2 linked regions of the Caenorhabditis elegans genome follow. The protein of the gene in region 1 purifies or fractionates together with the protein of each later gene. This does not show direct contact. Each region holds a gene or a part of one and is shown on either strand. Other genes may lie near its edges.

What was found. Proteins that work in one complex are often made in the same cells at the same time.
Region 2: the proteins of gtnt-24 (region 1) and lron-14 fractionate together in Caenorhabditis elegans (co-fractionation; one large-scale study listed by BioGRID). This does not show direct contact.

Annotation. Positions count from the first base shown.
Region 1 is NC_003283.11:10,750,439-10,756,097, reverse strand, and holds gtnt-24 (Glycosyltransferase family 92 protein), read left to right. Parts: upstream 1-1,947; 5' UTR 1,948-1,950; coding exon 1,951-2,198; intron 2,199-2,250; coding exon 2,251-2,441; intron 2,442-2,490; coding exon 2,491-2,591; intron 2,592-2,794; coding exon 2,795-2,947; intron 2,948-3,137; coding exon 3,138-3,341; intron 3,342-3,393; coding exon 3,394-3,587; intron 3,588-4,884; coding exon 4,885-5,041; 3' UTR 5,042-5,143; downstream 5,144-5,659. Other genes in the region: irld-6 (Receptor L-domain domain-containing protein), read left to right, coding at 39-134, 287-415, 464-784, 869-967, 1,011-1,139, 1,184-1,393, 1,436-1,602; F28H7.3 (Fungal lipase-type domain-containing protein), read left to right, coding at 5,397-5,463, 5,514-5,659.
Region 2 is NC_003282.8:9,560,606-9,568,407, reverse strand, and holds lron-14 (eLRR (extracellular Leucine-Rich Repeat) ONly), read left to right. Parts: upstream 1-1,802; coding exon 1,803-1,964; intron 1,965-2,268; coding exon 2,269-2,451; intron 2,452-2,496; coding exon 2,497-2,645; intron 2,646-2,693; coding exon 2,694-2,819; intron 2,820-2,860; coding exon 2,861-3,118; intron 3,119-3,164; coding exon 3,165-3,294; intron 3,295-3,356; coding exon 3,357-3,473; intron 3,474-3,763; coding exon 3,764-3,871; intron 3,872-3,966; exon of another isoform or gene 3,967-4,011; coding exon of another isoform or gene 4,012-4,893; intron 4,894-4,999; coding exon of another isoform or gene 5,000-5,020; exon of another isoform or gene 5,021-5,029; intron 5,030-5,329; coding exon 5,330-5,440; intron 5,441-5,485; coding exon 5,486-5,560; intron 5,561-5,756; exon of another isoform or gene 5,757-5,777; intron 5,778-5,867; exon of another isoform or gene 5,868-5,873; coding exon 5,874-6,047; intron 6,048-6,204; coding exon 6,205-6,300; intron 6,301-6,397; exon of another isoform or gene 6,398-6,418; intron 6,419-6,861; coding exon 6,862-7,154; intron 7,155-7,221; coding exon 7,222-7,383; intron 7,384-7,437; and 3 more. Other genes in the region: col-122 (Nematode cuticle collagen N-terminal domain-containing protein), read right to left, coding at 4,012-4,893, 5,000-5,020.

The sequences.
Region 1 (5,659 bases):
GTTAGTCATCAGTTATTTCATTCATATTTTATTTTTAGACTGTCTTTTCAATTTCACAAAAAACCCTTCACTGGTTGGTCTTCGGTTTTGGAATTTGGCTCATGATCCAAATTTGGAGAATGTTCCTGCTAAGCGTATGTTTTATTGGCTTTGAAGTTTTGCTCAGTTTTTTTGCTACTTTTATAAGAAGTAAGAATATAGCGAGAAAATACAATAAAGTATGTTCAGCTCCTATTTAGTTCATTATTGAGCATTCATACATCATTTCCTAAGAATATATTTTCAGATCGTCCAAAGTTATATATCCGAGGAAATTCCCGATTGAGTTTCACAACTTTTACTGGTGATAGGAGAAAACTTCTAGAACTGAAAAAAGCATGTAATCCCGAGATGTGTGTCATTCAGAACGATGAAGGTAATTTCTAAAAATACACTACCAATTTTTTTTATAATTTCATTGCAGAATGTCATTTTCGTTATCCTATCAAAGGTTCAAATGAATATCAATATTGCCGTCATGTGTATGGGGATATGCATTTCACAGGAACATTTAGAGAAAATAATCCAGCTGAAATGAAGTTTGTAATTGAAGGATGTTTTATTTTCAATCGAACCAAAGCCCAATATGTTCGCGGATTGCTCAAATCATTTCCAAAATGTTCTCGTCAACATATTTTCGAGCATAACCAATACATGTGCACTGATCAATTAGATCAAATCAAAGAGCGTTGGGGACATGAAAAAGTTAAAATTATTTCTGATGGAATAAATGTGAAGTGTTATCGTAAGTTCTTTTTCACAAGATAGAGACTGTAAAAGCGTTTTCTAACAATAAACCAACACTTTGTTCCAAAATATATTATTGTAGAAGGAGAATGTCGAGGAGGTTTTGTATCTGAAGCAGTCAAGGATCGGTATTCTGGGTGCGAAACGTTTCAAGGAGATGTATATCTTTCTGAGACCAGTGGTATTTCAATTCGTATTGTATCAATCAATAAGATGTTTTTCAGGAAATCTTTCCGAGCGGATTAAGGAATTATCCTATGCTCATACAATAAACGGTCAACTCCTAATTGCCAATAACCCATCAATTACGAAGTTATCATTTCCGTTTCTCAAGAAAATAAAATCTACAAAATGTAAGTTTAAAAATCTAATAATTTATTTTGAAAACTATTTTCAGGCCCTGCTCTTCAAATATCAAACATGACAAATTTGGAGTTCCTCTTATTCCAGTCACATGTAGAGTTTTCCTGTCGTAGAAGTGGGCCAATTGTGATGATAACTAATAGTTCGAAGCTATACTTACACCATCAAATGCTCAGACAACTCAGAAAAGTGAAGGCAGTCTTGAGACATTTCGATAGCAAAAGCGACACATATTCTGAAAAAAGTAAGTTATCAAAAATGTAACCTTTTTAAATATGTTTTTAAGCCACCTACTACTTGATCGGAGGGTGTTTTGTGATCGCAATCTTCATGGAATTTATTTGGTTTTTCCGAAAAAATCTTCTTCTTCCTAATTTCCTCTACCGTCTGTTCCCGATGAGAATTAATAGAAAACCGAAACAAAAGCATGGAAAGAAGAAGAAAGAGGATTGAATATTACTTTTTAAATTAACGCTTAAATGTTTTTACTTGACTATAAAATGTGTTCACATTTCTTAAATAAATTTTTGATGTATTATCAAAATTGTCTGATATTTTTTCCTAGTTCCATTAAGTCTTGTGAGAAAATAATGCAAATTGCAAAAGCAATTACAAATTTTTAAAAGTAATTTTTATCAAATACATTAATAAAATCATAGACAGGATCGCACAAGAGGGACGCTGGCGGATAGCCGTCACCTGTTCTAACAAATAATGTGACAAATAGGAGAGCACATTGCCTTGAACAAATATCAATTTATACATTTCAAATATTGTCTGTATCATTTTGATTTCTGAAAAATGAAAATGAATTGTGATATTCAGTCGAAGCTTTATATTTTCTTCATTCTTTTATTTTTTGTCATTTTATCAGTGCTTTATTCAATTGAAGTGTTCAACTATGATTTCGTTTCTAGTAATTTTGGTATTTCTTCAATTTATTTAACTCATATTCAAAAATATAAAGATGCCTACCCACCAATGTTGATTGGAGCATATGAATCTGAAACCCAAATATCAGTGTCTGTTGCTGCATTAAAACCTATTGGGTAATAATTAATTATTGCATATAATTATTTAGCAAACGATACTCAATTACAGTTATACAGTGTACTGCCGATATTTCGACAAAAACGGAAAAGAACATGAAAAGCCAATGAAAAGCTTTATTTATCCGTTATTTGTTGTGATTTGTGATCGAAAATCTTCAGAAACTCATAAAGTTGCAATAACAGATGGACCAAATGGAGTAGTGCTGGAACAATTTCAGATGATTGTTACTCGATGGAATGGTTTGAAATATTTCATCAATACAAAATGTGTAATTCGATTATTTTTCAGCAAGTTACAAAAGAATGTTGACTCATTGTTCGGCTCCTTTATTTGGACAAGAACCGAAATGGATGCATCTGGTAGAAATGATCGAGCATTATAAATTACAGGTTTGCTTAAAATTTTGCATAGATAGCTTAGTTTATTTATATTAAGTTTTTACGTTAAAGTTTTTAAAACAACCATTTTACCTGCTATTAAAGAGGCATTCATTTACCTCGTACATGTACCGAGTCGATTTTTTTTCAAAACTGATTATGTTTATTTCAGGCATAAAATTTTTGTCTCGCTTTGTCAAATTTTTACTTTTCAGGGTGTCACCAAGTTTTACTTTTACATCCGAGAAATCGAATTGTATGATATGTCAGTTCTTCAACACTATATGGCATTTCGAGATGAAGTTGAAATTATTCATATTCCTTCAATCTACTTTGATGCAGTCTCTCAACAGTATCTAGCAATTGCGGTAAGCAACTACCGTATTTTTCTATAAGATCAGTTCAACTGTTTAAATATAAACAAATTATTCAACATACCAATTTTACACTTTTTTTGAACTCCAAAGCCAACCAAGATGTTGTAAACTCAAAATAATGCTAGTGTGATTAATGGGGGAAATACAGTCCTAAAATTCAAGAAAATTCAGATATTTTCAGGACTGTCACTTGCGAAACCAATTATCAGCCAATTGGACAATCTTTTCCGACATTGACGAGAGAATCATTTTGACTGATAGCAAGACAACTATTCGAAATTTTTTACAAGATTCAGTCAGTGAGAAGTATGGAGGAGTTATGTTCCCACAGCGTTGGATATTCAAATATGAAAAGCTGCCTGAAAAGTTTATTAATCCAGTACAGGTATTGAAAGAGTACAGATTTTTGTAAATGAAATCGCTCATTCTGTTTTCAGATAATGCAAGAAATGCCGTCAAGGAAATGGGAACTTACAACTCAACCATGGCTCAACTGTACAGATGGAAAACATTGCTTCTCAAAAATGATAGTGAATAATCAAAAAGTATTACAAATGATGATTCATGACGTCGGAGAGTATAATGGGAATTATCAGACTTTGATTCTTGATCCGAAAATTGGATATATAAGGTATTAAAACAAATTTTTTCAATATTTTCATTAATACTAACTTAGTTTAGAATAAGTTTAGAATAAATTTGAAAATTAGCTTAATTTTGGATTTTGCAACGCCGTAAAAAAGTTTTAAAATTATTCTGAGAAGTTTCATTACGAAATTCGTTTATTCGAGCACATTTTAAATCTATAAATTTAAAATAGTACGTTAGTGCTCCTTTAAGAGAACGGTTAGGAACATTGAATTTGATTTGATTTATTTAACATAACTAATGCAATTTACAACTGTACAATTGAATTTTGAGTGTTAAATAAAACGGTAAAACGAGACTAACCCAGAAAGAGTACGTCTCGAGTTTGGGACGGGAAAGGAGAGAGAGGGTAATGTGGTAGAAGAGATCAATTAGAAGTCAAAGAGAACCAGCGGAGAAAAGTTAATACCGGGGAATATTGAGATCGAGAAAGTTTGAAAACTGATAGGGGGAGAGAAATACCGGTATATTTTTGACAAGATTGTTCCAAATAGGAATGGATTTGGCAAAGAAATGAGAGGTGCATGTGTCTTTCCTAACCAGAATCATGGGTCTCCTATTGGAATTAGAGAACTTGACAAACTGAGTTAATTTAGAGAAATGAGTAGAACCGGTAAGAAGTCTATATAATAGTTTCATTTGAGCTTTAATTCTTGTGTGTCTGGTGGAGAATAGTTCCATGATGCACAGTCTGTTTTCGTAAGAGGTGAATTTAACGTTGCACCTTTGCAGGACGCGTTTGGTGAAGGTCCTAAGCGGTTTTTCAAGTATGGCAGAGAGTGAGGAGTTGGGGGAAGGGGAGTAGATCTCAGAGCAATAGTTTATGATGGGGGCAACGTATGTTTTAAATAAGTGGCTATAAAACTTATGGGAGTTAGAGGAGAACGCTTTGAGAATTTGCTTAGCCCTTAGCATGGCTAGGCAGCTAATTTTTATAATATGAGGTTCAAAGTTTAATTTAAAATCCGTGATAAGACCTAAATCGCGGACTGTGGAGGATGGAAGAATGGGGACATTATCCACTCTATAGGTGTGGTTGGAGTTACGGGAACATTCCCTTTTGATAAGTACTAATAATAAAATGTAGTTTCTGAATAAAAAGGTTTTATTCAGAACCTATGTGTTGAAGTACAAGACGTTTTCATAGTTTTGGTTGAGGTCTGAACAAATTAACTAAAAAGAGAAAATGAGCAATTCGTAAATCTATGTAGGCTGTGCGAACACCAAATACTAACACTTATAAACTACATATGTTGAGCCATCACAGTGTTTTATTTCAGGCACTATCGAGATGTAAATATGGGAAAATGGTGGGTGAGAAATAAGGACGTACTTGAAAAACTGAAGCCATACGAAAATACCACGTACAATTTACGTCTCCGAGACCAACTTCTAACAAATGTTCTTCAAATTCTTTATGCAGTTCATCGACCGTAAGAAGAATAAAAAGGGTTGAAATTCATCACTATCACTTTGATCTCAATTGTTTTATGTCCATATAAACTTTAACTATGCAAACAAAATGTGTCGTCATTAAAAATTCTTATTTCAAAAAATTTTAAGATCAATTTGGTAACGGAACTCACAACCGCTTAAACTTTCCATCACACGTTCGTGATCTCTCCAACGAAATGTGTGCAGCATGCCGGTTTTCCTTTCCGTCTGATAAGAGAAAAGAGCTGTCTCTAAACCTCCTAATCATTCTTCACATAATACTTCCTTATCACGGCAAGTACAAAAACTCGTCCCACTTATCTGACATTGTCAGTTTGTCTTCTTCATTCTCCCCGAAATGCTGAAACTCTTCACGCTTCTCTGCGTGGTTTACACCGCCTATGGTCTTGTCCTCCCAGCTTCTAGTAAGTTCCGAATAATTTGGCACTGACTCTCTCACATCATACATTTTCAGTGCTAGCCAGTTACACAGATGCATTTGCCAGAACTCAAATGCTTGCTCTTGCTTCAGCTGCATATTCCTCTAATCCACAACATTGCCTTGACTCTAAATTCACAAACGCTAAGCTTCAACGTCAAATTTATGTGAAGAACTGTGCT
Region 2 (7,802 bases), on another chromosome or scaffold:
AATTGCTAGAAAAATAATTTTACTTCCAAAGAAGATGATTTGTGCCAGATGACCAAATATTTCAATAACCGAAACCCAAAAATAAATCAAAGATTTTTGACGTTCAAATAGTGAATGTGTTCAAACAAAACTATTTTGAAAATTCAGGCCTTAGGTTGTCACTTGGCACATTTACCAAACGACATCTAAAACCCTGACTTCTAGCTTTTAATAAAACAATTAATTACTCAAAAAAATTGCCCAAATTTTGAAAATATCACGATTTTCCTCTCATTGTGTTTGGAAAAGGCTCAAACCGGAATCAGTGAGAAAAAATAGAACATGAAGTTTTTGTTGTTGTTGTTCAGGAAGAAGCCGTCGTATAGTTCGTTTTGATTTTCTATTCTTCACAAAAATTCGAAAACTTCCAGTCGTTTTTTCTGTGGCTTCTTCCAATCCATTTTTCAATTTAAATTCAATTTATACTCTCTCTCTCTTCTCAACTCATAATTCAGTGGGAATACATTGAATAACTCTCTCTCATAAATCAGATTCCGCCCCCTTTTTCCCACAGACTAGTTCATTGATACTCCGTTTCTTCATCTTCTATACTATTTTCCTATAGAAATATGAAATCTCAATTGAAGATCTACCCTCCGCCTTCTCTTTCAGGGCAATCATTCTTCCCTCCTTCCCGAGATTTGTGTCGTCTTTCCCATCTCTGACACTGATTCCGTCGGGACATTCCTTTTGGTTCACGCTAGCTTCTAGGAATTTGTCGCACCAAAAATGGGCAAAAAAAGATGAATGAATATGTATTTTGGAAGAAGAAGAGCCCGCCCCAACTTGCCCTCCATTTTCTACACAAATTGCAAGTCACCACGCTCCTTTTGTCCCTTTTCGCCGATTTCTGTCCCATTTTTTGGAGCAATTCATTGTGCTCATATTGTTTTGTTTAGATGTGAATAGATTTGACGTTTTTATTCAAGTTTTGGCCTCAATGAATTTACTTTATGTGAGGTCTTTCTCAAACATTTTGACATTATAAATCATGTGATTCATAATAACAGAAATGACATAAAAGCCATGTAAATTTTTAAACAACTAATTTGAAAGTTACTGTAAAATGCAATTGGTTCAAGTTATGAGAAGAGTTTGAAACCACCTATTTTGCTTTTAAGATCTAAGTTTATAAACTAAGTATAAACTTAGAAACTGATGTTAGCTCAGTTTTGAGTTGCGTAATTCTGACTTAAAAATTGATGAAAACCTTGGCACGAAGCCTTTTAAAGTCTTAAAGAAGTTATCATAATATTTAGATGACGATGTCTTTATTAAAAACAACGTTAAAGGATCACGAAAAGTTTGAGTTATTTATGATGCTAGGTTAAAAAATAATTCATGCACTGCAAGTTGTCAAAAGTATCAATTTTCTCGACAAATTTCGAAATCTTCAGACCGATTCTTTTTTGCCTTTTTTGGCTCAGAAATGTTTGATCCAGACTCTTTTGAACAAAACATACAGTTTCAAAATTAAAAAAAAACTTATGTTGATTTTAAAAATTTTCTACATCAACAGATTTGTTCATGTTATAGCGGTACCATTATTTTTGTAAAAATAGTAAGTTCACTGGACTATCGAAAGACAAATGTGAGATTCACTTTCAATTTATTAAATCTGCAGTCAATAGTTTTACGTTTATTAGTTCATAACTTGCTTCAACCTATTCCTACTTCCTTCCGTTTCCACAATATTTCCAAAATTTTTCATGATTCAGCTCAACTGAAGCCCGTTTGATCTTCATCTTCATTCTTCATGGTATATGTCCGTCCTCCCGCTTCTTCATCTTTTTCTCATTTCTTCTCTTCAAATCGCCCCAACTGCCACGTCATCACCTTCCCAATTTCCGTGTCCGACAAGATGTCAATGCTATGCGGATAACGAGCAGAACCAACAAGTACATCTCATTTGCAAGTGGGAACAGGTAATTGAATGGACATGTATGTGTAGGGGGCAATAGCAAAAGTGACTAGCCATCGCAATTATCAATTAGTCACTGCATCAATGCATGTTTGGTATAACAGTACATTACAGAGAACATGGACATGTTATTTTAAAGAACAGCAAGGGAAGTAATTTAATTTAGTTTCGATAAGAATTTTTACACTGGACTTAAAAAGCAATGTTTGAGTAGTTTTGTTATGAAATTCAGTCTTTTGGGTTCATTTTAAATTTATTAAGACAATTCAAGTCGTTTACTCCTCCGTTTAACTACATAACGTTTTCAGCTGAATGTGACTACTCTCCAACTTGCACGTCCTGATCTCGTCCGAACTCTTACTATAAAATGCCCTTATCATTCTCCAAAAGTATCAACTCCACCTCATTCATTATTTCAAGGGTTTCGAAATCTAGATCGTCTCGAATTAGATAGATGCTTAATTGATACTGTTCCAGAAGGACTTTTTGCGGTTAGAATTTTCAGAGAAAACATTTGTAATTGTATTGATGTTCAGGGTCTTGGTCAACTCTATTCCCTTATCGTTAAAAATGCAAAAATTACCGATTTTCCTCGAGAGATATTCGCCCATGTTCCCAACTTGATGACATTGGATCTTTCTGGGAATCGATTGAGAATTGAACCATATTCATTAAGATCATTACAGTAATTATTCTTAAAAATGAAGTTAAAAATGAATATTCAAATTTTCAGAAACTTGATTCACTTGGATGTAAGTGACAATGATATTGGATTTCTGACAAATACGTTGATATCCCTGACAAAGTTAAAAGTTATCACAATGAACAACAATAAGATAACGAATATCGATTTCAGAAGGTTTTAAAAACATTTATTTGTTTTAAAAAATAAATTTTCAGATTTCCTGAAAACCTGACCGACTTATCAATTCGGCATAACCTCGTCTCCACAATTCACTATGTTCCAGCAAGTGCTAGAAATCTGAAACGCCTTGATTTGGCTGGAAATCGAATGGAATTTGTTGGTGGTTTGACGACTGGAGCTGTGAATGTATTGCCTGCAGAGTTGAAACACGTGGATTTGTCGAATAACAAGTTGACGTATTTACATGATCATGCATTTGAGCACTTGACAAATTTGATTTTGCTGGATTTAAAGTTGGTTTTGTATTGAAAAAGTATTTTCCGAACATTATTCTTGCAGAAACAACAGCCTAAAGGAAGTGAAGTCATCAAGTTTTGCTGGTTCCAAATTTCAAGTCAAATTGTTTTTATCCGAGAATCCACTACTATGTCACTGTAATCATAAATGGTTAATGGATTCTTCTGCTAAAGTTTGTTTTTGAAGTTTTTACACAATTTCTAATTTTTTGGTATTACGTTTGATATTTTTTAGAACATATCAATTGGAGACCTTCAGACAATTGAATGTCTCAATATATTGAAACCAGAAAAGAAAATGCTGCTCACGTTAGCTCATTCAAGGAATCAACTGCTCTGCAAATATTCTAATGTAAGTTATTTTATAAATGTTTCATTTTAATTGAAAAAACAATTGGTGGCGTACTACCAATATAATTCGATTTAAAAGAGACTAAGATGTATAGTTTAATAAAACCGTGCTGAGAAAAAGCCTGATATCAAACAACAGTAATTATATACCCAACAGACTTTAATTATGCTATCAAACATTTTCTTCAAAAAATTAATCGAGAAAATTGAACTGATAATTAAAAAAGGTTTCAAGGTAGGCTAAAAAAAATTTCAAATACATAGTAACTTTGAAACAGTAATTTTTTTCAGATGTGTGAAGCAGATTGTGAATGTTGTCAGAAAAAAGAATGTGAATGTCGTTTCGAATGCCCGCCGACGTGCAAATGCTTGAGATCTGCGGATGTCTCTATTGTGAGGGTATGATTTTTGGAAACTGGGAAATTAGATATTTCATCAATTCTAGCTTTTTGAAAAACTCATTTTGTGTATTTTCGAACTAAAAAAACAATATTGGAATGCTAAACTCTTTATGAAAAATGGGAGAGACGAAATAAAATCTAGCGTCTGGATCCGTCCTCGAAGAAGACTCCTCCATCGATAGCACAGTATTTTGGACAGATTCCCTTCTCTCCTGGAGTTCCATCGGATCCTGGAAGTCCTGGTTGTCCTGGAGCTCCATCTTGTCCTGGCTCTCCTGGTCCTCCACGTGGTCCTGGTTGTCCTGGGGATCCTGGAGCTCCATCCTTGCCCTTGATTCCAGCAACTCCACGTGGTCCACGTGGTCCAGCACGTCCTGGCTGTCCTGGTTGTCCTGGCTTTGGCTCGTCGGAGTGTCCTGGTGGTCCTGGTGGTCCTTGGGATCCTGGCTTTCCTGGGTGTCCGTTTGGTCCGTGTGGTCCTGGTTGTCCTGGTTGTCCTGGTCCTCCATTTGGTCCATCGTGCCCTGGTGGTCCTGGTGGTCCCTCGGATCCTGGCTTTCCTGGTGCTCCTGGAGCTCCTGGTGGCCCTGGTGGGCAAGCTGGGCATGGTGGTGGGGTTAATGGTTCACATGGTGACTGTGGTGGCTTTCCTGGGTGTCCTGGGGCTCCTGGTGCACCTGGGCGTCCTGGAGTTCCTGGGCGTCCGGCAGCTCCGACTGATCCAGCGGCTCCTGGCAAGCAGCATCCGTCGCAGCTATTGTGCTCCTGGGCTGGGGCGTCTTGAACGGCAACATCGTATCCAGCTTGACGCGCGGTACGGTTCCCTCTCCCGGGAAGAGCTGGCATAGCGACAGCGGTAGCATATACCGTGTTAACGGTGTCACGGCAGTGACGGAGCTCAGAGTGCATTTGAGAGCGGAGGTTGCTCACATAAGAATAAACGAGTGGAAGAGTAATGCAAACGGAAAGAATTCCGACAGCTGAGAGGGAGACTGCGGCATACCCGATGAGACGGTAGGCCTGAAAAATTGTATAATTTTCGAAAAATAAGAGTCATGAATGGTTTTTAAAATTAAATTCTAAAGCCTCTTAGAACTTTAAACTAAACCAAACAATTTGTGAATACCTTGATTTTGTTGTCCTCCATTTTTGAGATGATCAAGATTGGATGATGCCTTTCCATGTTAAACCCATTCCTTTTATACTGACAATTTTCTCTTGATCACTGTTTCCTTTTTTCATTTTTTTTTTCATTTTGTGTTACCAAATCTATGTCTCCACATTTCCCATTATCACTCATCCTATCACTATGGATCTATCTTTGTTGTCAGGTACGCCCGCGCGGTTTCGCTAACTTTACACTTTCCAATTGGTTTTTTCTTGGATGATAAGGCACAATAGAAGAGAAACGGAACTAATTTGAAACTTTTTTGGTTAACCCGGAACATTATTTCAGACATCTCAAAACATTATGGTTTGCGACAAACTTCGATGGGATAAGCTCGGAAAATTTCCATCCCCATTGACACAATTACATATGAATCAGACTGATTGGAAGATTTTTGAGGTTTTTTTTTCTTTGGAAGAATTCATTAGACATCAAGACTTTTAGACCGAGAAATTGAAAGAACTGAGCAACTTGCGAGCTTTGAAGATCACAAATAGCAAAATGACTTCAGTGGAAATGGTGAGTTATTTTTTGAATCCGGAGGTTAATTTTGAAAATTGAGGGAAACTTAACTAACTGGTTTTGTGTTCCTAAGGTTTTTCAAATATAGAACTATGTATTTTTCAATTATTTTATGCAATTGGATGTATTTATGTAAACAATTTTTTACTGTTTCGACATGCCTACTTATGCAGTATGATATTTGAAATTTTAATCCTGCTGTCATTGTGTTGTCCGAAAATTTCACCTAATTTAGAGCATCATCTAATTTAGTTAAATTCTAATCAATTTCCATATTTCGCAAATAATGTCCACAAAAAAATTATTTCAGGAAAAGCTCACTGATCTTGCCAATTTGACCCATCTCGAAATAACATCTTCTGCCATCACCTCAATTCCAGAAACCATTACAAAATTACCATCTTTAACTCATCTCTACTTATCTGATAACCCATTGGATCAACTTTCATCAACATCCTTAAATCATTTGGATGGTTTAAAAAAGGTTAGTCACTTCAAAAGGAAAGGACATTTGACCAGAAACCAGTTTATCTATGTTCCATCATGATAAGACAAAACAGTCATTTTTTGGTGGAATCATTGGGTTACAAAACGAAACTTTCCATTTCAGTTTGGTTGATAATAATAAAAGAGAAATTCAGATTCGATTGGGTGGGAATTTCAGCAGATTTGCCTGTGATTGTGAGTCACCATCGGATTTTCAGAGATGGTTGATGAGAAGAATTAATCGAGCAAAAGTAAGAACATAGTCACATAGTTTCAGAGCAAAAAAGTTTAAAAATTAATTTCTGTTTCATAAGTTTTACAAATATAGTAGTAAATTTTGAAATTTATTCCTGATCGCCAAATTGTTATGCACTCAAATGTGTAATGTTGAATTTTGTTTCTCCTAATGTTAAATTTAAAAATATTGAAGCTTTGTCAATAATACATTCATGGTGAGGGACATTTTTATTACTTTTTCGAAAAAGTTAAAAGTGAACGTGCCATGCTCAAGTTTTGAGCTGATCGTCATTATTTCGAATTATTGAAGGCAATTGGTTTTTGCCAGTAATAAACTAAAATTATTATACATTAGTTTTTATCTTAATTGTTTTCTTACTGAGAATGGGATTACTAAAAGCAAACTTTTCATTTGAAGATTTATGTACCATTTTAATTTACTTTCTGAAAAAAAACTGAGAAAAGTTTTTACTGTTTCAAAAATGCCACAAATCAAATTTTTTCAATTATTTTATGTTAATCAATATTTATTGTTCAAAATCTGATTTCGAGTGGTTTTAAAATAAATTTTTCAGATAGATGATATTGATGATTTATATTGTGATTTAAATGGTCATGGAACAGTTTGGATGTTGGAAGCTCTTCCAGGAACAAATGAAAGTGTATGCCTGGATCCAACTGAAGAAACTAAACAATGGATGACATTTGTGGAAAATGCACAAAAAGGAATAATGGAAAGAGTTTATACTTCAACTGAATCAACAACTAAATCTGAGAAAACAATGATGACAACTACATTGAAAAAGAGTATTTTGGATACGATGGATGAACTAGAAGGTGTCAAATCTACCGAAAAAATTAGTAATAAGTGAGTTGATTGGTTTGAAAATTCAGCGAAGCCAAAAAAAGTTTCTAAAAACTGAAAAAATTTTCAGAGTAATCTCAACGACAACCGTTCCCACAACAACTCCTCGATATCGCAAGAAATACAAGAATTATGACAATGAACCTCATAAATTTGTCAATGTTCTCATTTTCTTGCTCTTCTTATGTGTGATTATCTTGATAATTTCAATAGGAGTCACCGTATATTTGAAGTAAGTTTTCAAAATAAAATCTATTTGAATGATAGAATCAATAAAAGATTTCAGATTTTGGCATCCTGAAGAGCTTTTAATGAAGCGTCGGAAAAAAGAAAGACTTCGACCGGAAATTCAAAGAGAAGAAGAACCATTGCAGCATTTAGATTGAAGAAGAATAATAGAAGTTTTAGAATTGAAACGGGTATAGATTTTATTTTTTGGTATTTGTTTTTTCGAGCAGATAAATACATTTTATTCTTCAAAGTAAACATACAAAAAGTAGTTCTTGAAAAAAGAATGAGTTAAATGAAATAGTTGTATTGTGAAACATGGTTAGGCAGTTCTCAATTGCGTCGAAAAGTGTCATAAAAAATTGCCCGGCTTGTTTTGACCAAATAGCCAATGTTATTATTTATCATTCATCATTTTATCAA